Lepisosteus oculatus: one gene and its partners. The main gene of each other region encodes a partner of the protein of the gene in region 2 in a complex. Links are inferred from orthologs where the notes say so. Each region holds a gene or a part of one and is shown on either strand. Other genes may lie near its edges. The genes, in order: gal, galr1a and gnao1a.

Evidence for each region.
Region 1: the proteins of galr1a (region 2) and gal are in contact, whole or in part, in a cryo-EM structure (PDB 7WQ3), measured with the Homo sapiens proteins. The link is inferred for Lepisosteus oculatus from reciprocal best matches to the Homo sapiens genes GALR1 and GAL. Residues at the interface, in NP_001471.2 of Homo sapiens: Glu32, Gln92, Thr94, Val95, Tyr96, Leu98, Pro99, Thr100, His112, Gln174, Phe177, Arg180, Gln184, Phe186, Cys187, Trp188, Glu189, Gln190, Ile266, His267, Ala270, Phe275, Leu277, Ser281, Phe282, Arg285; in NP_057057.2 of Homo sapiens: Gly33, Trp34, Leu36, Asn37, Ser38, Gly40, Tyr41, Leu42, Leu43, Gly44, Pro45, Val48.
Region 3: the proteins of galr1a (region 2) and gnao1a are in contact, whole or in part, in a cryo-EM structure (PDB 7XJJ), measured with the Homo sapiens proteins. The link is inferred for Lepisosteus oculatus from reciprocal best matches to the Homo sapiens genes GALR1 and GNAO1. Residues at the interface, in NP_001471.2 of Homo sapiens: Thr70, Arg133, Ala136, Ile137, Ser140, Arg141, His226, Leu227, Leu231, Asn233, Ser235, Lys236, Lys237, Ser238, Ala240, Ser241, Lys244, Thr245, Thr248, Leu306, Ser307, Glu308, Asn309; in NP_066268.1 of Homo sapiens: Ser264, Asn316, Glu318, Tyr320, Asp337, Asp341, Ile343, Ile344, Ala345, Asn347, Leu348, Arg349, Gly350, Cys351, Gly352, Leu353, Tyr354.

What each region holds. Positions count from the first base shown.
Region 1 is NC_090716.1:11,820,957-11,828,462, reverse strand, and holds the start of gal (galanin peptides), read right to left. Parts: upstream 3,063-7,506; 5' UTR 2,867-3,062; intron 2,499-2,866; coding exon 2,418-2,498; intron 371-2,417; coding exon 316-370; intron 1-315. Other genes in the region: uncharacterized protein, read right to left, coding at 5,645-6,116, 6,666-7,045, 7,180-7,314. UniProt on the Homo sapiens protein: Endocrine hormone of the central and peripheral nervous systems that binds and activates the G protein-coupled receptors GALR1, GALR2, and GALR3.
Region 2 is NC_090705.1:18,592,294-18,599,770, forward strand, and holds the start of galr1a (galanin receptor type 1), read right to left. Parts: upstream 3,045-7,477; 5' UTR 2,486-3,044; coding exon 1,814-2,485; intron 1,106-1,813; coding exon 1,040-1,105; intron 1-1,039. UniProt on the Homo sapiens protein: Receptor for the hormone galanin. The activity of this receptor is mediated by G proteins that inhibit adenylate cyclase activity.
Region 3 is NC_090715.1:1,057,346-1,064,328, forward strand, and holds the start of gnao1a (guanine nucleotide binding protein (G protein), alpha activating activity polypeptide O, a), read right to left. Parts: upstream 3,070-6,983; 5' UTR 2,502-3,069; coding exon 2,384-2,501; intron 2,202-2,383; coding exon 2,159-2,201; intron 1-2,158. UniProt on the Homo sapiens protein: Guanine nucleotide-binding proteins (G proteins) function as transducers downstream of G protein-coupled receptors (GPCRs) in numerous signaling cascades.

The DNA of each region.
Region 1 (7,506 bases), on a different chromosome or scaffold from region 2:
TGTGAAAATGGAAACACATTAGATTAGGGGCTGCAAATGCAATTTATAAATGTTTTAGACATGGAATATATTAATAATGTATCAAAAGAGAGATATAAATGTAATAATAACCAACCTTTTTTGTAGCTTACTTGCATAACAGTAACTAAACTCTGATTCAAGCCTGACTAACAGCACAAAACCTAATCCCATGGTTATTTGCAGAAAGTAGTTTCTTTCATCTATAATACCAACAGCTGACTTACTATCCATTTATAAAGTGTAATTTTACAACCTCTAACCCAAAGTGTGATCACAAAAATAGCTTTTACTCACGAGGCCCCAGTAAATACCCGGCGCTGTTCAGAGTCCAGCCTCTCTTTTCCTTCGCCTTCAAGAGGGAGAAACAAAAAGTCATTTTTGTCACAAATGGAGATAATGCAGCAAGAGCCAGTTGCTGCGTAGCATCATGAACAGAAACATAAGTGCAATAAAAGAGTAATAAAACATTACAGAGTCTGCAGACAATTTAACAGATGTCGTGTAAATGCGCCTCTTTAGCACAGAATGCCTGGATATTATTTAAGCACAGAAATGAAATCCAGGATCATGATGCAGCAGTGCTATACACCATACCACAATACTGCCATACATGCACATGATTCTACTGACTGTATTAAACATTAAACATTACTTATCTGCTTATCTAACAATATACTAAACACGTTCTTCTAAAAGAGAAATGGACAGATTGGCACATAAATCCGATAACATTGTTTGTGTCAAAATGTTTTCCTTTTGAATAAGAATTAATTCCACTCAACTGTGGAGCAGCCAGAGAAGGACTGGCTGGAAATGACCTTGGTGTCAAGTAAATCTGTACACCAAGGAAATGAATGTGATCAAATGCTCTTTGATATGAGGATTTGCAGCAGCAAGTGGTCTGTGTAAGAAATGTAAATGTGGTTGAGTAAATCAACAGGCGTCTGGTTGTATTAATGGTTATTATCCGCTGAAGTGTAATGCTTTGTGGAAGAAGGTAACCTACAGTTTCTGTCCACCTCTTCAACAAAAAGTTACCAGGCTTTAGCCTGGCTATTCACATGACATAAGAGAACTGAACACAAAAGCTTTTCATTAAACCTGACCATCCTGATTCATCATTCTTATTCTGTGTCAGATTTAAGCATCAGTCTCGAAGACCTGGACTGCTGATCTCATCCTTGTGATGCAAAAGCAGATCGTAGTATTGCACAGGGAAAAGTTCCCCACTTACAGTATATATAATTCAATTTGTTTTCTAAACTTGGCTCTATAATTACTTGCCAAGTCTCTATAAATGCTAGACAAAAAATTAATTGATCTTGTTCATTGCAGATCCCTCAGTGTTAGCTCCTCAGAAAGATGATTTTACCTGCTGGAGGTAATGCATTCATTTTAAAAATTACTTTAATTATGTGACAAATTATTACTGAAATGACATATCTTCAGGAACTCATAATTAAGTTATCCAGATATTTGCCTACTTCTGAGTGCATTGACGGAGCCACTGATATTTAAATATAATCCAGCACATTTCAAGCAAAAGATCGCTGACATATTAACGTGACTATTTCATAACAGTTTCTGTTGTGTCACTCTAGGGAGTAATAATATAGTGGAAAATCAAGATTGGGCCATATACTGCTGCATGTAACAAATTTAATATACGAGTCCTAACACTCTCTATTAAAATTAAAGGCAATAAGCATCTTATTATCTCGTACAGTTGTATTTTGTCCATTGCAAAGCAACTACATAATTGCTGCAGGAAGTTTCAAGACGCAGGTAACATTGCAGTTAATTAGCATTCAAATATTTCTTCTCTGTAAGATATAATTGTTCTAATAAAAGTCTAATGGACTTGCTATTATGAGCTGCATACGCTTCAGAACAATTACAATAACAGGATAATATTTCTCAGGTGTCTAAATTTCCTACAGATTAGTTGCAATCATGGGCAATTATTGCGTTTTAAGAGGATTTTTTAAAAGCTCCCTATTCACATACTACTACAGTATAACTAAAATACTGTATTGAAATATAGTGCCAAAATAAAAATAATGTTTGACTGCTTCATCGAGGTCTAGAACAATGAAGTTGTGAGGTATGGTTTTAAGGGTTTAATGAATTTAAGTTACATTTTTGCAAGACAGTGTAATTTTAGATAATATAGACAAAATGAATATTTCTCTTAGTTTATATCCCTCGGCAAGTCACATAGACAACCAGGATGCAAGGAAGCACGCAGGATGACAAACCAGTATCAGTCAAGTTAATGAAAAGAAAACCTTCTACTTGCACAGGATAAGCTCCTCGGTAAAACGATAAATCGGGAGCACATTTTAGACAGCATACTGCATAAATAATTATAACAAAAGAAAATCTGGAAGAAATACCGAAAGAACCAATCCAAACGTCTCTGACAGGGTGGCACACAGTACAAGTGATACGCAAAGAACACCAAAACACTTCTGCATCTGTAGAGAAACAGGGGTGGAAGAGTTTAAGACTCACACATCAATACGCTTTTAAGCTAAAAACTTTCTCTCTGGCCTGGTGTAGTTTTAAACAGTATTTAATTATTTTACACAGTATCTTCAGCCTGCAGTGCGGCAGCTAGGATTATTCGTTGTAATATAAATGTCACTTTCAGGACTTTGCCCACTTCATCGTGAATTAAGTACAAAAACAAAATAAATATTTGTTCTCAGTAATATTACTGTAGCGAAGTACATTACGATGTTATTTGGCAAAGGCAGATGTTTCTCCAAAATCTCGCTCGATGCTCGCTTGGCTGCGAATTTATTGTTAATTCCCTGAACCAGTACAAGATTTAAAATCTTACCTTGAAAAGTTTGCTACTTGTAAGTGCCTCTTTCCAGAAATCAGGTGAAGAGTTGGTTTGTGGAATTTCAGCAGACAGTTAATAGAGAGAGAAATGCGAGTATTACAATATATTTTCTTCCATTCTGCTCTCGGTGCCGGGAATTTCGGATGGAATGGGTAAGGTCTATCGGTGGCTTTTATTTACCTCTCCCCTACCCCCGCCAAGAAAAATAAACTGATGTCCCCCCAGCTTCTCGGGTTAGACGTCACCCCTAATTTCCTCCCGTTCCCCTCCCATCAGTACATGTGGATAAGAAAAAATTGCTGCAATGCAATTATGTTCTCATGGAAGTGATTTAAGAGCCGAAGATGGATAACAGCCGGATAATTGCATTGGGTTAGCATTTGGCTGTATAGAGCTTACCTTGGGGGTAACGCTTACGCGAGCTACGGTACCTGATTACGTCACGTATTACAATAGAGAAGGAAAAGTAACTCGCGGGATGCATGACACATAACACGTAACTTTCCCCGTGTTCAACGGCAACACAAAAGAGTACGGGAAAACAGCAAGGTCTACATTCACCTTAATTACTCTGGCTAAATTTGGACTTATGGCAGGATGCGTAGGGGTCTTCTGATCGTCACTGGCTTCATTAAAAAGTTTGTGCATCAAATCCCACGTGATGAAACATCGTGACATGGAGACATGAACCGGTTTTTAGAGAATAGTGTATTCTGGAATAACAAGCAGCAATAAAATGCTTGTGAAAAGCCCTTCTCAATGGTGCTGAGCACAGTTACAGACGCTCACAAGATCTAAGAAGTTGATCTGTACAGCAGAACAATTTACTGTCTATAATGCTAACAACTTAATTAATCATTTGATTATTAAATGATCCTGCTCCGATTAAATACATTATTAAACTTTTAAAAGAGAATATAATACGTAATACGAATTAAGTATATGATGAGACTCAAACCTGCCATTTACAAATGCAATAAATTGAGAAAATGATTACCTCGAAGACTATTAAGTCTATCTGGTAGCTGGGGAACTGACATTTTGTTGAACAGAAATTTGGTATTTTTAACGTTTGCTTTGGGCAAAGCTGATGTCCAGTGGGGCTATCCCTAAAGTCCGAGTATGAACTGCCCAGACGACACTATACGACTTGATGAATTTTTAATAAAATGAAACGACATATCTCATACAAAAACATCTTTAAAATGTTTCTATAGCTGTGTCCCAGTTCTGTATTTAACGCTACAGGGACCTAAGGAGAAATGTATATAGAAAAAGATAAATGTCTACAAGTTACCTATGGGTTATTTCCCTGAAGGACGATTGGTTGTTGTCGATTGTAACTTATACAATGCTCGGTAATTATATCATGGGCTGTAAATGACAGCATTAGACTTAATTATGAGTCACATTAATTAGGGATAACTAACACTAGGCTAACTGGTTCTATTCAGAACACCAGAAAAGACACAGAGGATTGAGAGGATCCACTCATTGTGTTCAGCTGGTTCCTTTCTCTGTAGTTCAGCCAGTACCGGTTAAACTGGGGTGAAAAAGCAGCCCAAGGAAAGGAACATTACAGGGTAACTAATCTAATCTAACCTAACCTGCCTGGTTTTGGGAGACTGGATGAAATTGCTGCACCTGGGCTACCAGTGCTGCCCATACTGAAATAGATGGCACTATGAGCCATCTGCACACACTTCCATTGTCCAATGTAAATATGTCCACTGTTCACACAACAAACATTATTTTGTGGACTCATGCATAAAAAGACTAAGTGTATTAAATACGTTATTATTATTGTCAGTCACCTCATTATGTTTATTGAGAAAATGCAAAGGCTCTTTCACCCTTGTTGCGACTGCAGCTGTGCAGTCTTCAGAAGTAATAATTTGCACTGTTTATATCAAGGTAATACTTAGGTGCCTAGACTGTCCTTTTTGGTTTAATGATACAATACTTTCCTCGCCAACCCCTGTGAACTGATACCAGTTACTTGCTTTTGGAACAAAGCTGGGTTCCAGCTAATGTACCATCTACTGCCTCCCAATCTTTAGCCTCAAGATTTTTTTCTTTGTCTGACAAATCCGAGAGGCGTAGCACGATGCTGAAGGGGTTCGTATTGCTGCCCTGCAGCTCTGGGTTCAAACCCTTGTGTTCTATGTGTGTGGAGTTTGTATGCTCTCCCCATGTTTGTGTGGGTTTCCTCCCACTGTCTAAAAACATACTGGTAAATTAGCTTCTTGGAAAATTGACCCTGGTGTTAACGTGTCTATATCTGGACTGGCGTGCCATCCAGGGTGTATCCTGCCTTGTGTCAATTGATTGCTGGGATAGGTTTCATCTCCCCCGCGACCCTGAATTGGATAAAGCAGTTAAATGAATGAATTAAATGGGTGACAGAGAGCGAGACAGGATACCCCAGGCACTGGTTTAGACACTCAATTCCTCTACAAGGCAGCACAAAGATGTTTTACACTCCAGGTGATTAGTACAGTATGTTCAAGATTGACATTTGTAGCAAAAAAGTTTGTGGTGGTGTTCATTTCCCTCACATTATTAAGCTAAAACACATATTATAAGATCTGAGATATTTCATTTCATGCTGGCCTTCATACCTGGGAAAGTGTTCAATGAACATTGTTTTAGAGTAGGCTAAAAGCAGAGTTGAATGCCTATTAAAGCTCTCACCAACCCATTTTTCAGATAAAGGACTCACAAGTATCACAAAAGCCCACTTCAACGCTCTGATTTTTATTCTACATACACTTATGTTGGTTTCATTCCCTTAGGGGTGAAATACTGTGTCGCGAAGCAAATGTAACTCCGGTAACAAATACAGTAGAAAGAAAGCACCAATAAAATACAAGATAGAGTGGTGAAGCATATTATGTGAGGAAATCGTTGTATGTTCTTCTGAGAGCTCTGCGCACTGTGTGATCTTTGTGATAAAGCTGTGCTCTCTGGCGCAGTGTCCTCTTCCTGATCTTTCTCACAATCCACTGGGTTTGGGCTCACTTTCTCTGCCCCCTGCATCCCTGCTGCACGCGCCTGGGCAGAGCCGTCCCTGCTCACCACTGCAGCATTCTGAACATCCTCTGCCCAGCTGCGTGGCAGACTGTCGACTCCATCACAGGGCCCTTTCAGTGCTGCGCCTTGGCTGCCTGCTTTCATGTGGATGTTGAGGCTAATGCGAACACATTCGTGAGACCTGTCAAGCAAGTCACTGGGCGGTGCACTCCTAGAAAGAACTGCAGCACATTAGCATCAGCCAAATCAATGAAAGGTCCATTAACATGATATTTTATACACTTTATCCCATAGTTCCAGGTACAACACACACAGGGCATGGCTACTAAATGACATTTCATATCTTTAAGGTAAGTGTAAGGGAAGTGAAATTACTTAGATCAAACTGACTTCTTCTTTCAGAATTAAAGTTACCAAATAAAAAAACAGTCCTGAAGGTGTACAGAATAAGGAAAACAACAGTGACATTTTTTCAGATAATCCAGAGCCTCTGAAGAAGGCTCCACGGCCGAAATGTTGTTTTCTTTCTTCTTTTTTTCAGCATGGAATAAACCTATTACTTGTTCCTTTGCAGCCTTCGCGTGCTGACGCAGCTACCCACCTGAATTTTTTTCAGATATTCTGGTAGACTACTAATACCGTATTATCATTAAAAACATAAAGATAATTATCTGGATACTATCGAAATATGTTGTTACAGCAACCCAAAAAAACAGCACTGACTCAACAGTGCTGACTACAATGATGATAAAGTAATTACCTGTGGCAATCCTTTACTTTTGTTCCCTGGTTTGTGCACCCTCTATAATCGTCAGTTACACTTGAGTCTAGGGGACTACCATATTTACTGGTTGTACAAGTCTTGTCCTTGAATACAATAACTGTGTGTTCACCACCATGTGCAACCCATAGGGCATCTTCCCCAAAGTCGCGCCCTAAATGTGCTTCATTCTTGTGCGCGCAGGGTTCGTCTCCCGACAGAGGCGCGGCCAAAGCCCGAATTCGGTGGTCCCCAGCGATCCTGACTCGCCGTCCTCTTAAGTGCGCCAAGTAATTGGACAAATGGTCAACGTCATCATCGATCATTTCGTTAACTCCCCCTATATCCACGCTGACAGTGGACAGCACTTTGCTGAGCTCCTGAAAACACACAGACACTTTTATGAGTAAACGAAGCTTCTAGTAATTTTAACATGTGTTTCGCTAGTACCTGGGTGCAAAAGGTTTGGTGCGCCGTCTCATCAGTTATAAAATCTGGCAAGGTTGCAGCTTACCCTTAATTTTTTTGCAACCCCAAACCGGTTTTGCCTTGTGCGATCGACGCAACTACTTCGACTCTCCGAGACTTCCCCAGACTGCTGTGCTACTCTAGTCTCACCGCTTGGTGCCATCTCCCTGTAAGAACGCATGGCATTTGGAAAGATGTTAAAAACCTTGACAATCTGGCTGCAAGGTCAAAGTTGAAAGGTTGTCTTGCAGGAACAGAAGTGACAAATGCTGGACATATGCGTCGCACTGGCTGTACGCGGATGATGCACTTGCTTGTGCAATAATACCCCCCCCAAAACATGCATTTTACGCACAAACGTCATCCACAAAAC
Region 2 (7,477 bases):
AGTATACTGCATACAGTAAGTAGAATGCTCTAATTTAACAAGTACTTTCTTATAAAGTTACATTTTATTTTAAATAAAAATTATTTTATTTTAATTTTATTTTAACAAAGTAACTGGCATTTTTTGTTTTTATAAACATCAGAAGGCCTCTTCCACTTCAGCAGCATTTCATTATGGGGGAGGAACATTAAAAATCTTCTATACTTTGGGATACAATCATTTTATTAGATAAAACTTTATTTGAAGCATTCCTTATAATCACTATTATTAATTAGATTTCATACTGTATAATACAGACAAAATGTTTTTGTTTATGTTTTTTTAATGGCAAAGGTGGATTCAAGCCCCTAATGCTTTTTATCCACAACAATCAAATCTGTTACCTAGGCAACTAATTGAAGCTTGTCTGCTTTAAGCCCAAGCCTACCTGTATCATTGTATGTATTTAGACATGTTTATTTGTGCACTATTTTTTCTCTACAGCGAAATCAAAACTAGGGTTAATTAGTGCAATGAACCTTCTCTGATAAGAACTTAATTAAATAAAGAAAAGGATGAGTAATCTGAAACCAATAAACCATAATGTCAACACTAAAGACAACTGCTTCAGGTTGGCACAGAGTAAAACTAACTTAAATCTCCAAAGAAAAATGAAGCTGTAAGAAAAACAATAAACGAGAGTCAATTTTGTAAAATCACCAAAGAGTGATGCAATGACTAAAATCCAAGGTGTGATTCAAAAGCATATAAATGGGTAAAAGGCATGGAGGAGATCCACAAAATAAATCGAGTCACTTTCTTTGTCAGTGTGTCTATTTAAGACTCACTTTATCAACTTTAGTCTATTTCATCTTATATTACAGATGCATGGACCATTTAAACTATAACTGCATGTAGTAAGAGTGCAATGGTTTCCATTACTTACTGTTAGGAAATAAAGCTGACAAATGAACTGCCTTTTAAAATTGCCATCCATTACTGGGTCATTCAAATCTTGCTCATATTTTGTACACATTATGCGCAAAAGCAGAACGCTTACCTTCTTCTTGGACGCCTCCGACTTTTTGGACATGTTTCTTAGTTTTTTGTGCAGGTGATTCAAAACCTGCAAAAACATTTTAATATATTATTAAAAAGACAACATGACATAAGAAAGAAGACAGAATAATGGTAACGGTGAAGAATTAAAACTTCTATTAATTAACGTTTTCCTACTCTTTTCTGTTTTGGGTTGGTTTATCTTACATCTGCATTCATTAGAGGTTTTTACTGTAAGTCCGCGATATTTACAGATATTTTATGACGGCAAAGTTGCAGGCTACTGTATTCAGTACAGTATTGCGTATTAGATTTCACACAAATTCGTACTTACTAAAGAATATAATACGTTCAAAATTTTGACTGGATAACAAAATAATGAAAAAAAGTTTAATATTAAAGCATACTCGAATAGAATACCTAGCTTATTTCACAAAACGAAGGGAGGTGAGATCACCTCCTCTTATCGGGAGTTTAGTTTTTATTAATGTTTTTGTCAACTACTGTATATTATATTACATACAGTATATGGTAGGTTCTAAGGTGAATGAATTGCCTAAAATGGATTTAAATTCGTTGCATAACTTACAGATATGTCATCTCAAATGACGAGATATCTGTAAGGTGACAAATGATCATCTCAAATGATAACTTCAGAAATGGAAAAATGAACTGTATCTGTAATCATCAACTAAAGAAGCTAAAGATGGACAGGCGTTAAATAATGAGGAGCGCCCTACGTGAAGTACAGATCAAAGAAATCCTTTGGACCCACCTTTGCGTAACAGAAGGAAATTAAGAGAAGAGGCAGTAGATACCCAAAAACAAAGGTGCACACCACGTAAATCTTCTTTTGCTTGTGGTCCGGCCACACTTCCCAACAAAACGTACTGTTCCCCCCTCTTTCAACGATGTTCTGGTGGTGGGCTACCGGCGCGGCCATGGCGAGAGACAGGATCCAAATCGCAATCACCCCTATCAGAGCGTGCCTTGCCACTCGAATGGAGGAGGACTTTCTGGAGTGCACGATGGCAATGTAGCGGTCCACAGACATGGCAGAGAGGGTAAAGATGCTGACGAGCATGGAAACGGTAAAGAAGTAGTGAATGAACTTGCAGATGAAAGCTCCCAAGACCCATGTTGGTAACATGTAGACTGTGGACTGGAAAGGGATACAAAACAGGAGATAGGAGAGGTCGGCTATACTGAGGTTTAGGATGAAGATGTTAGTGGTGCTGCGAGGTTTGCCCGGCTTGCTGCGAGCCAGCACCGTTATCACCATAGAGTTGCCCAGCACTCCCAGTGTAAAAATGAGTCCGAAGATCAGAAGCGTAATGAAGTTGTCAATGCCGATACCGAACAAAAGTTTCGTTGGAGCCTCCCGAGCGTCAGTTCTGTTGAAAAAGCTCGCTCTTTCACTTTGGTTATGAAAAACAGCCGCGTCCATCACTTCAGGAAAAAAAAAGCTTTCGCTTTTGAAACGTGAACAAATGGACGGAACCTAAAATATCTGAATTTTAAAATACATTCATGTTTGAGAAGTTTTATAAGTGTGTTTTGTAACCGAAGAACGGAATGGAATGAGTCGACAAATCTACAAGTAAAGTCCGCTATTAAGGTAATTAAATTATGCAGTTTTTCCAGCTTAATTTGAAACAGTAAAGGTACATTTTCATTAGCTGCATCGTGGTCTTTAGTTTTAGACTGTACTATTGGAAGCGTTAACGCATTTAGTGCGTACTCCTCCGGAATTTACAATAAACCAAATGTTTAAAGTTTCAATGCGCAAATATTTGCATCCCCTTAGGCGCAAAATTTGTACATTCAGCATATCGGTGTTTTGTCTTTGTTCTCATTAGCTTTTTGATTCTTCTCGTGGTTTTGTTCGGCTCCGCTGTATTGAATCTTGCTCAACCAGATGTTTCCCTTTCACCTGATGCTTGTATTCCCGTTGCCGGTTCTAATGAGAGCCTCTCTCCTGCCTGTGCTCACTGAAAATGCTGTGAGGAGTGGGCTGCGTCGAGACGTCACCAACCAGTCCCCACGGCGCTAGGTCTACCAATACTGTATGTGCATGATGCACTTTATCCTTCAGATGGAGATGCACCTATGCCATTTTTATTATTTTAAGGCAAAAACCGGCTTGAGGTTGTCATTCAAAGAGACTTAGTTACCTTAAAACAATCAAACCAATTGATTCCAAGGACATTTGCGAAACAAGTTTACAAGCTTTACAACCATCATACAGTATAAAAGTTCTTTAAATATGTTTAAATCATATCAGTCTCCATTGCGCTGGAAAGCTGTTAGTATTTCACCGAGACTATTATATAATTATTATGCTGTATGCTTTTAATTGCTTAATCAATTAAATATTCTTGGAGTCTCCTTAGAAAAAAATAGTATTCGTCGTAATACTGCGAAAATAGGCTGTAAATGCATGGGTCTTAATGTAATAAAGTTGTTTTGTGAATACAAAGCTCAGAGATGTTATACCCTAGCAAAGCCTATTGCGTAAGTCATTACATTGCCGTACTTTTTTGTTAAAAGAATCTTTGAATTTAAAACTAATCCTTTAAACACGTTAACCTTTTTTATTTTATAATACCTCAGATATCTTCCATTATTAAACGAGTTCTTCTTTATTTTTATTAAAGGTCCCTTTTTACTTCAAATACATTCATTCTTGGAACTACAAAGAAGTTATGTTTTTTCTTTAAAATCATATCTTCGTCTGTTTTGTGCATAACTTGGACATTTTACTATTAAAATCGATGCATGCTTTAATGGTAATAATTATGAGGCTATACAGATGATTAACAATGTTTTACTGTATGTCTTTGTCATTGCCTAATATCAGTAAACTGTACTGTACATACGGTCAACCAGAAACTCTTTATTCACATGTGTGAATATAGTATATTTAAAAACAGAGAAGCCAGACAAAAGTGAGCAACTACGAAGACGGTATATCCCTATATAAATATCTATGACAGTAAATGTGAAGTGGACGTTGTAATAACATTAACAAGAAACCAAATTTTGGATTTAGAAGTGGCATCGGACATGAGTACGCAGTATGAGTTCTGTGTTCCGCACCTGGATCCGACAGAATCCTGCACGATCTATTACCGTAAACCAACGCTTATTCAAAGTTGTATATACTGGCCGACTACGTAAAGCATGGAGCAATTAAAACTGGTACTCAGGAATTAGACCGATTATTTGCTAAATTAAACACTTACAACCCTTTTCCTAAAGTATTAAACTGTTAACACATTACTGAGACATCGACAGTACACTGTACTCTGCTGGATTGTTGTCCTGCTTGAGGTCAACTGCGCGCAAGAGTTGCACATACTGTATTCGGAGTTTTAACAGTATCTCTGACGATGGACCACAGCTGCTTCTTTTAGCGATGTTGCAGGTCATGGAGTGCTTAAGGCAAAGACATTTGCATATTTGAGCATCATTCAGAATTGAACACAGTAATATGAATAAAAACATCAATTTGTAATTTTTTAAAAACATTTTGGTAATTTAGGTTAACGAGAACATTGTGATTTAATCTGCTCCAAGAGTTAAAGCAGTCACTACTTGATTTACACTGTGAAATATGTTCATGAAACCATAATACCAGCACCACGTGTTCATTCCCGTGGCATTTTTTGTTATTGTTAGTCACAGTTTTCAAATAATTCACATGTGTGGCGGATTGAATACAGAAATGTTAGCATGCTACACTATACTTTGTATCCCAGAGCAGCCATTTCCTTGCCATTATATGTCCAGTTCATCGTCATTCCATTATATTTGATTCTTGTTTTGGCTGTCTTTTGTTCTGGCACTGTTTAAAGCCCTTCTCTTATATGCCAGCCCGTCAAGGCTGAAGCAGGATGCGGGCAGAGTGGAGTAGGAGCATGATGAGTAATGTGTCAGAGTGTGACAGGCAGTCAGCTGGAATAAGAAAGCAGCTAGCAGAAACAGCAGTATTGTGTCACGTATGCCAGAGCCTAGCAGGAGGAGAAAATCACTTTAATGTGACAATTAATTAAAATGACGACAGAGAAAATATGCAGCAAGCAAAGAAACACACACTTCCTGGAGATGAAGTGCATAAGATAATTTGGGAGTTTAATGTTTTTGGGTCTAATCCAAAATTTAAGATATACAAGACCCCAGGCAATCAATGGGCACAAGGCAGGATACAGTACACCCTGGATGGGACACCACAGACACAAACACAGACACATACTCAGACCAGGGCCTATTTTCGCAGAAGCCAATTGAACTATCAGTATGTATTCGGACTCTGAGGAAACCCACGTGAACACGGGAAGAACATACACACTCCATGCAGATAGCACTCCAGGTCCAAGGCTGCAGCACTGCAGCACAGCAGTGCTAACCTCTGCACAACTATGCCTCCCAATGACTTTTGTTAAAGTAACTTTTGTGTTACTTACAGTATGAAATGTTACCAGATGTTAAAGTAACTTATGTGTTATTTACCAAATGTTATGAAATGTTTTTGTACTCATGGCCACTCAGAATTATGTACTGAAGTACAGATTGCTATACTGTATGTACTGTATATCTATTATATTACATAATTTGCAGAAAACCTATGGTATTTATTTACCAGCAATTCTGATATATCTGTTATCTCAAAATAACAATATGTAAAACCTGTGAAACACATAATTGTAATTCTTGCTGATCCTAGACTTTATTACTAACCACCACTCGTGGCTGTGACTCACAATTAGTTGAGGGCTGTTAAAGATCAGTGGGCATAATCAGAGGACTAGAATCTCTTAAACAGAAAGCAAATGAAGGCTTGAGAATATGGTTTTACAACTACAAGATTTTAGATTTTATTATAGTGGCAAATATAAGAATGTTTGATGCTGTAGGATATGGTTCTGTGGCTGAAACGTAGTATTTTTATGATCAATTTATGTTAAAAATGAGAACAAAAAACAGGCTTTTGATAAAAGAGGTGCAGTACATTGTGGCTTAATATGTGATTTACAGTACATCACAAACATTAAATACTATGTTTATCAGTATATGGTACTAAAGTCTATTTTAATGCAAACATCCTTCCACATTAGGTTTGCTAAATGCTTTTTTTTAAATAAACAATAAAATAAAATATTAATATGAATGTGGCTTTTTGTGTATTTCCTAGGATACATACAGTATGATAGCAGAAAGCAACAACTTGATTCACTGACCTTACTCTTTTTAAAACTCCATGCTAACGTATGTAAGTGCATGATACACATGTAAGTCAAGTACTAGAATGTACAGTCATTAACACTGAATTATAGACAAGCACTGATTCCTCACCACACTAACAGTCAACTACGCACTTAGTTGCTAAACACAAAACTTGCCGTCACTTCTGACATTTCATAATGTCTAATCTATAAAAAAACAACCATGGCAACTCATTTACTATAAAAAAGTGACTTGAAGTCATTCTTATGATAATGTCAGGCAACAGACTGGTGAGTGAGGGTGAGAGGAATGGAGTGGACCTTTTGACTAAACATTTCCAATTGCTGTGCAACAATACGTTTGTGGCAGCGACACCAGACAGAAATTTGGTCAATATGTCAAACAGTCAGTGGTGCTAGAAGTGTCACAGGTAAGCAGAAGGGCAGCAATCAGAAATGCACTCACAGCTGAAGACGATCCCTGTCCAAAAACACTGAGCACCAAAGGACAATCCTGTCCAGGGAAGCAGATGTATTGGCACAAGATTAATATAAACCAGGGTCAAGTGCAGTAGTTGAAATATAGGTTTTGTAAGGCAGCATGATAAATGTGTACCTGTGGCAGCTGCAGTACTTCAGAAGCTATAGAAACATGAAATGATGGCAACTTTGCTGAAACAGTTTGCCATTTTGACAACATTATTCAATATTTTACTTACAGAGGGGCAGCTAATCAGCATAATGAGAAATTTACTTCTAAAATGCTTTAAGTAATTATGTGTATTTATACAGAGATTTCCAGCCTCTCTCTCTTTCCTAGTGTTAATCCCGCATCAGCAGGGTCCGCTTGTCGGCACACCAGTCTCCATTTAGTGGTTTGAACCAAATCTTTGAGGTGACTTTGCCATTAACTGCGACCGAGAAATACTCCAACCTGCGCCTCGTTCCGCCTGCTGTCGGAGTGGGAGAGGGGGCAGGAGAACAAAGTAATGTAGACAATTCATAGAAGGGGATTATTAGGAGGCAAGGGAAATTTGGCCAGGAAGCTGGGGTTAGACCCTTACTCTTTACGAGAAACACCCTGGGATTTTTAATGACCACAGAGAGTCAGGACCTCGGTTTTAAGTCTCATCCGAAGGACGGCGCTTATTTACAGTATAGTGTCACAGAGATTTCTAGCCTAAAGGATCATAAATAGCTAACTGATCCAATCC
Region 3 (6,983 bases), on a different chromosome or scaffold from region 2:
ATTCACCAGCACCTCCCCCTGCACTGGTCTGTCCAAAGGTGGTGGAAGTACAGTTCCCCCTCAGTGGATGGGTCCACTGACCATAGCCCAACTGACTGTCAGGACTCGCTCAGTTCCTGACTCTGACCAGATTCTTTGATGTTAACACACCCTTATCCCCAGCAATACAGAAACTGCTTCAACACCCCTTATCCCTTTCAGTTGGGTTTTTTTTTTGCTCCCACACAAAAACAATCACAATCCATTGATTTTAGCCAAACAGATGTCGGGGGGAGATCAATTCTCTAGAATTTGGACAACGACGGTTTAATGCCGCTTTCTATGCAAATGTTGTCTTTAACTGTCGCTCCCATTCATCTACAAACACAAGGCAGGAGTTTTAAAAGCAGATCTGCCGAGGCTGGTTGTGAATTAAATTTAATTGTCACAAGTTGTCATTTCATAAATGACGGGCGAACAGGTTTGTTTTTGTTACATACAGTTAACAGTGTTGGTACGTTATTGCACTGGTAATATCAAGACCTCGCCTGAAAGCCTACCTTTCCCTGTCTTAATAAAGCCTGGAGACTGCTTGAGCACTTTCGCTACAACCCAACACTGCCTGCTATGGGATCTTGTTTTTTATTTCGCTTTAACAATCCCGATCCACACTCCACTGCCGTTCTCCGGCGAAGCAGAGAATACTCTACGGACTTTTCCTCTTTCCCTCTCAACCTCGGGCTCTCTGAACACGCCCGAACGCCTCCGAATGCAGCAGAAATCCGCTCCGAATCCCCCCTCCTTTCCAAGCGCTCCTTCTCGGTAGGTGAACCCATACCCGACAGCACCCGAGTGTTTCCGAATTCCAACGATTGAGCGAACAGGCGCTGCTGGGCGCTGTCCACCACCTCAACCGCCTGAAATCCTCTGATCTTCCCCTCACAAACGCAGAAGGGGCCCTGCTGCCATTGCAATACGGGCTTATTTTTACAATTGGCTTTACTACCGACAGGTACATACCTGCAGACTGAGCCACCGATTTACAAGGAACAAATGTGAATGTCACAAAAGGGGAAGAGGGGAACTCAACCCGTCTCGGGCAAAGGCACTGGGGCGGTTTTCAGCCGAGTACCCGCAGGCTCAGTACACAGTACCGTTATTTCCAAAATCCCACTTTGTTTCTAATCAGGCGCCATACATACGGTTCCCTTCAGACACAACAGATGTATGTGCTTTATTATACATCCACGTATTATTATTATTATTATTATTATTATTATTATTATTATTATTATTATTAGCGCGAACTACACTAAAAATGGGCTAATCTAGCCGAGCTGTCCTGCTGGTCGCAACATGAGACACGAAGAAGAGAAATTAGAAGGCAGGCAGGAGCACTCGGTTGTCTTGGGCTGGGTGAGATTAAAAAATGGCCGTATCTGATGACAGGTTCGGGTGCTGTTCTTCCACACACGCGAGTTCACACTCTCGTCTGCGCGCAGTATCTGTGTGCTTGTGTGCGATCCACACACACAATACACTCCAATTTGCTTTTTACAATGGAAGCGCTGCCACCACCCCCGTGGCCGTTTTAATAGCTGGCGTGGGGGGGAAATCCTGAAATCTCCACTAAACGGGGCTTTAAATGGCAGATCTCTGCCCCAGTTAAATCCTTATTATAGGCAGATTTTTTAAATGAATGTGAGGGAGCGAACTCTCCAAGCCCGTGTCAGGAGATCAGAAACTGGTGGGGGATGAGCGCTCAAACCGAGGCATTAAGCTTAAGAGAGAAGAGGTGCGCTCCTAATGGCTCTCCGGCGGGCTACAACCGCTCGCCTCCCGCTCCACACGCACGGCGATCACACGCGAAACCGAGGGTTTTCTCTGCTTTTTCAGCACCATTACCGTGAACAGCACACGCATTCGTTCACGGCCAAGCCTCACACATTGCCAATTTGTCTCCGAAGCCTGCGTTGCTAGGTGCGCTCGATCGGTGCTAAAACGATCATAATTCCTTGAAAAATATGGCGGACCTAAGTATTAGCCAACCGGACTAGGGTGAGAATGGACAGGGAGGGGAGGGGAGTCGGGGGGTGGGGGGCGATTGGTGGGGCGAAGAGAGGAAAAAAAATCACAGCCCGTGTTAAAGGCGAAAAGACATGAACACCAGCCCACTTACTTCATCTGCTTCACGATGGTGCTTTTGCCTGATTCCCCTGCCCCTGTTGGGATAAAAACACAGAATAAAAAGGGCCGTCAGTGTTGTGTTGTAAGGAGATAAACGAGATTAGAGCCAGACGAGCAGCCGCGCTAACGCCGGGACTGCTCTCTCTCGCCTGCAGGGTCTGAATGGGCGACAGCCACAGTGGCCACAGCCGGGCTTGTCAGCGTAGCACAGCCTTACCTAGCAGGAGTAATTTCACATCTTTTGCGGCAGTGATTCCGTCTTCTTTCAGGTTTTTCTCGATGGCTTTGCTCCTCTCCAAAGCGGCTCTTTCCTCGGCGCTCAGAGTACATCCCATGGTTAGGAAATCTCGGCTCTCTTTTTCTTTCCAAAAAGACGCAAGGTATCAAAGCAAGCAATCCTCCTTTTTTCTGTTTCTTCCCTGTACCCTCTCTTTCTCGCTCGCTCACTCGCTCGCTCTCTCTCTCGCTCGCTCGCTCGCTCTCCCTCCGTCTCTCGGCGACTAACGCATTAAAAACCGGATCGACTACAGTTGGCACGGGTCTGAACAAGGCTGGGCTCACTCTCTCTCTCTCGGGGGTCCGTCTGCTCGGTGCTCGGGCTGGGGGTCTCTAATGGGCGGCGGCGATGGCTGCGAGCGATCGCATCGTTCAGCTGTTCACAATGGAGAGGCAGGAGGGAGAGTGCGCCAGACTCAGTGCTCCCTGACAATTTCACTGACGTCAGAAACCGAGCGAGCATGCTCCGGCGAGCATCCTGATAGTACCGTTAACCGTCTCCATCCAGAGGGAAGGACCTCTCCCCTCCCTTTTGTCGCTGCTTCTCCTGTTTAAGGACGAGCTTTGAGGAGCGGGATCGCCCCCGAGTGACCCGCCTGTGCGAGTAGCCGTTGTCACTGTCGTTCTCTGAAAACGTCCCGAGTGTGCGGGGTGCAGACTGGAGCTTTGTGCTCTATTGTGTCCGGGAAGGTGTCTGTGCAGGCCGGGCGTATTCGCACCGAGGTGTGGTCTAGCGAAGCTCTCTGGAGGACTTCGATTATTGACACGGGATATTTAAAAGAGAGCCCCCTTCTGTAGAGCGTACCATGACGACTATTGAAATCATTTCTTTATTTTGTTTTATTTCGAGTTGTTTAGTCATGGGAGAATCGCAAAACCGCTTTGAGGCTTAGAAGAATTGTCAATTATAACTCCAGCTAATCTATTGCAGAGAGATCCCTTACTCTCGGCTGCGTTATTGTCGTGCTGTGCAGTCGTGCAAAGAGTAAACTGAAATTTACAAAAAAGTTGAGAAAGGGTGTTGCGCCCCCGAGTCCTGATCTACACGTAGGTCCATCGGTAATACCTTTCTAGAAACTCAGCCTTGTGGGAGTTTGCTCCCTCACTAAATCAAGTTTATTTTACAGAAATGGTCCGTAAAATTCTGCAGAAGTCTGTTACTAGTGAAATATAACTTGTTATCAAGGGATACGCGCACCTTTCGTCCAGTCATAAGAAAATGACTGTACTGTGTGGCATCACGTGAGTTTTGAAAGCTCAAAGCTCATCCGATCGCTCTGCTCGAGGACAGAAAGCGCACTTTGACCTCTCCTGGCTGCGACAACGAACACGCGCACTGGAGCTACAGGATTACTGCGGCTCCGGGATCAAGTGCTAGGCCTTAAATACAAAAGCGTTTGTTTCTGAATGAGAGGAGGTGGCACTTTTTTAAGACAGGCAATAAAATGTGACTATTCGTGTTGTAAATCTATGGTACGTGCAGTCTTGCCTACATACACGAACACAACTGATGTAGAGCACCTTTGCATGCTGGTTAGAGCTCTGGACTGACTCCTTCTACAAGTGCTATTCGGTTCAGTAGAAACATTTTCCCAGAGAAAGTGATGGTTGTGCGCGCGAAGGAAGTGGCGTTAGTTAGCTTCGCCATCTTAACAGCCACCATTTACAGAAATGCAGGAAGACCTGCTTTGTTTTTCTCCGTTTCCAAAGCTCCCAAATCGAATCCCATTACATGGTCATGACACACGAGACTAGTCCCCAACCACAACAAATCCACAGACAAAAACTAATCAATATGTTTCTAAAACATGATCCGTTGTGTCCCAGAAACCTGGTGCTCCTCTCCTCATGCCCTGAAGACGACAGATTGATTAACTTAACACCTGTGGGAGAGTCTGCTATTGCTGACAGGACTTCTAGATACTATGCGTGCTTACTGCTCTGCATCAGAAGCACTACCTACAATATGTAAGACCAAAATGAACACAGCATGAGCTTAATTGAGTTTGATTTATTTTATAATTGCCTGTTAATGAAAACAGTCCCCACACAACTCTGAAAGCCATTATCTGTCTTGTCAAAGTTTGAAGTGAAACAAGAACTCTACTTCTGATTCATAAAAGTGATATTGTAATAAACAGCACAAGGAATTTTCCTTTTAACTGCTCAAAAATATGCTGTTGGGAGATGTTTTGTGCTGCAGAATCTGCTCTGTAATACATGATCTTTCCTAAGCAGATTTGTTCAGTATGCATTACCAGACATATCAAAATCCAGGGAGCCCTTGTCTGTCCAGGCTGCGGGGGAAAACTGTATCCGTTTCTTCATTCATCTGGAGCAGTTTAATGACCTCCTATTGCTGGGAGTCTTTCTTTTTCAGGATGATACCAGATCGACACTGAAATGTTTTCTCCTTCGACCTGATTGCCTCCTGTGTGTCTGAGCTGCCGGATTTAAACTGAGAGAATTCTGTAGTCTATAGATCAGGGTGTTCAGGCTTTGTACATTTAAAATAGCATCTCTATAGTATTAGGACATGAAGCTGCAAGCACTGTAAATTGCATGAAAGTCACAGCTCTTTCTCTAATAGTAACTTAAAAGTGCACCTAAAAACTGTTGAAAACTGTGTCCCAAGCCATGAATGTCTGTGCAGTGGTTACCTGTGTAGTTTGAAGCTGTGTCATCATTCAGAACCCAGTAGATTCCACATGTGATCTGTGTACTGTTGGTCTGTACAAGAGAGAGGAGACCCAGGGAGTTATTAGCCCCAGTGTTACTTCTGTCTGCCCGAGTGTGTGATTGGTTAATTGATTAATTGCACAATCATGAAAAAAAACCATTGTAATGCACATGCCAGTAGTAAGCCTGGTTTCAGACTCCTCCCTAGCTTTCCCAGAGGGCACGAATCCTGCCAGCTGGCCATCTTTCTTCCTCCTGCCCCTCCCAGGCTCTCACACGCGATCTGACCCCCTCGCAGGGCGGCCAGCCTGCCTGGGACCCGAGTGCCCTCGATTTCCTGTGGCCAACCAGTATGAAGCTCTCTAACCTTCACAGCAAGCAGCTAGCATTTGTTTAAACAAGCTTTGTCTACTTCTCTTTCTTATTATTATCATTGTTATTGTCACCATCATCGGTGTTGGAGAAGTAAGTTTGCTCATGTAGCACCTTGCAGTCACAAGGTGCCTGGGTAAGGTAATCATTTAATTTCTGGATATCACATATATCTGCATCTGGCATTTTTGTATAAGCTTGGGCTTACCTACAAGCCCAAGTGAAAAGATTCAGGATATCAGACTACGTGTGATCAAGACGTTAAGGAAGCAGAAGGAAGTGATGCCCTGTGCCCAGGCCTCACTCTTGTCATTGCACCACACTCCGAGAAGTTCCCCTGGCATCCCAGAGCAGGCTGGGTAATGGCACTGTGGTAGGCCAAGCAGAGACCCGTAATGAACCATATGGGTAGGGCTCTCTTAATGACAGCTGCCAAGCCTATACCACAGTGGCATGTGAAAATAAATGAAAACGCATGAAAAAATCAGAGAAAGGCCATTTATTTTTACTTTCAAGGAATGGTAGAATAAATTGAAAACAGGATGGACTTGATGTTTAAAGAGTCTGCAGTTAACAAGAAGCAAATAATGCACTGTTGTTATATCTAACAATACCTTAAAAATACCACTATACCTACTATTTCTAATAAAACTGATTAAACCTGTTCTTTGCACTTGAGCCACGTCTTGTTTTTAGTGGTAAAAGCTAGTCTCCAAGGCTGCCTGGTGCTTGGAGTATATTCAAGGGATGTCAGTGATGAGCAGGACAGACAGATTAGTGTAGCTCTGGTCACCAACAGCACAGGATCCCTCAGCTGCAACACCTTTCAGCTGTCTGGGGTTTCCATAGCCCATCTAAAGGCAAAGGATATAAAACCCCACCAGAGCTCTCAGCTACACAGCTAGTCTAATTATATCATTGGCTACAACACTGTAACACTTCGGCCCAGATCATTTGAGGTGATCTACACTTTAGTTAAGACTAACTTTAAAAGAATGAACGTGTTGAGTGATCAGCTGTAAATTACCATAAGAAAAACCTTAAGTAAAAAAAAAAAGAGTCTAAGACTCACTGCGTTCAAGAGTCCAGGCTTTGTAATCCAAAAAAAGCTAAAATTTAATTTGGTGAATTAAACTGATTTGCACGGCTTTCACTAAAGAAAACAATACCTGATATTAATGTGGTTCACAGAAAGGCATCACTAAATCCTAAATCCTCCTCATTCTCCGGGAAACAAGTCCCCGCCATTCATGAAAAAACAGTTTCCTTAGTAAGTCACCTAAATATAAATTGCCACGTTTGCAAATAAACTGCATTAATGCAGTTTTTGTCTGTGGACATCTCACAGGGTTGCCACCTAAGAAGTCTCTGCAGTAAAACCGAGCTAGACTGACCAATCCAAGAGCTCTCTGGGATAGCTCTGTGCAGAAATGGGTCAACATTGAGACGAGGAATTCTCACACTTCACTGGTTTTCTGAAATTTCCTTAT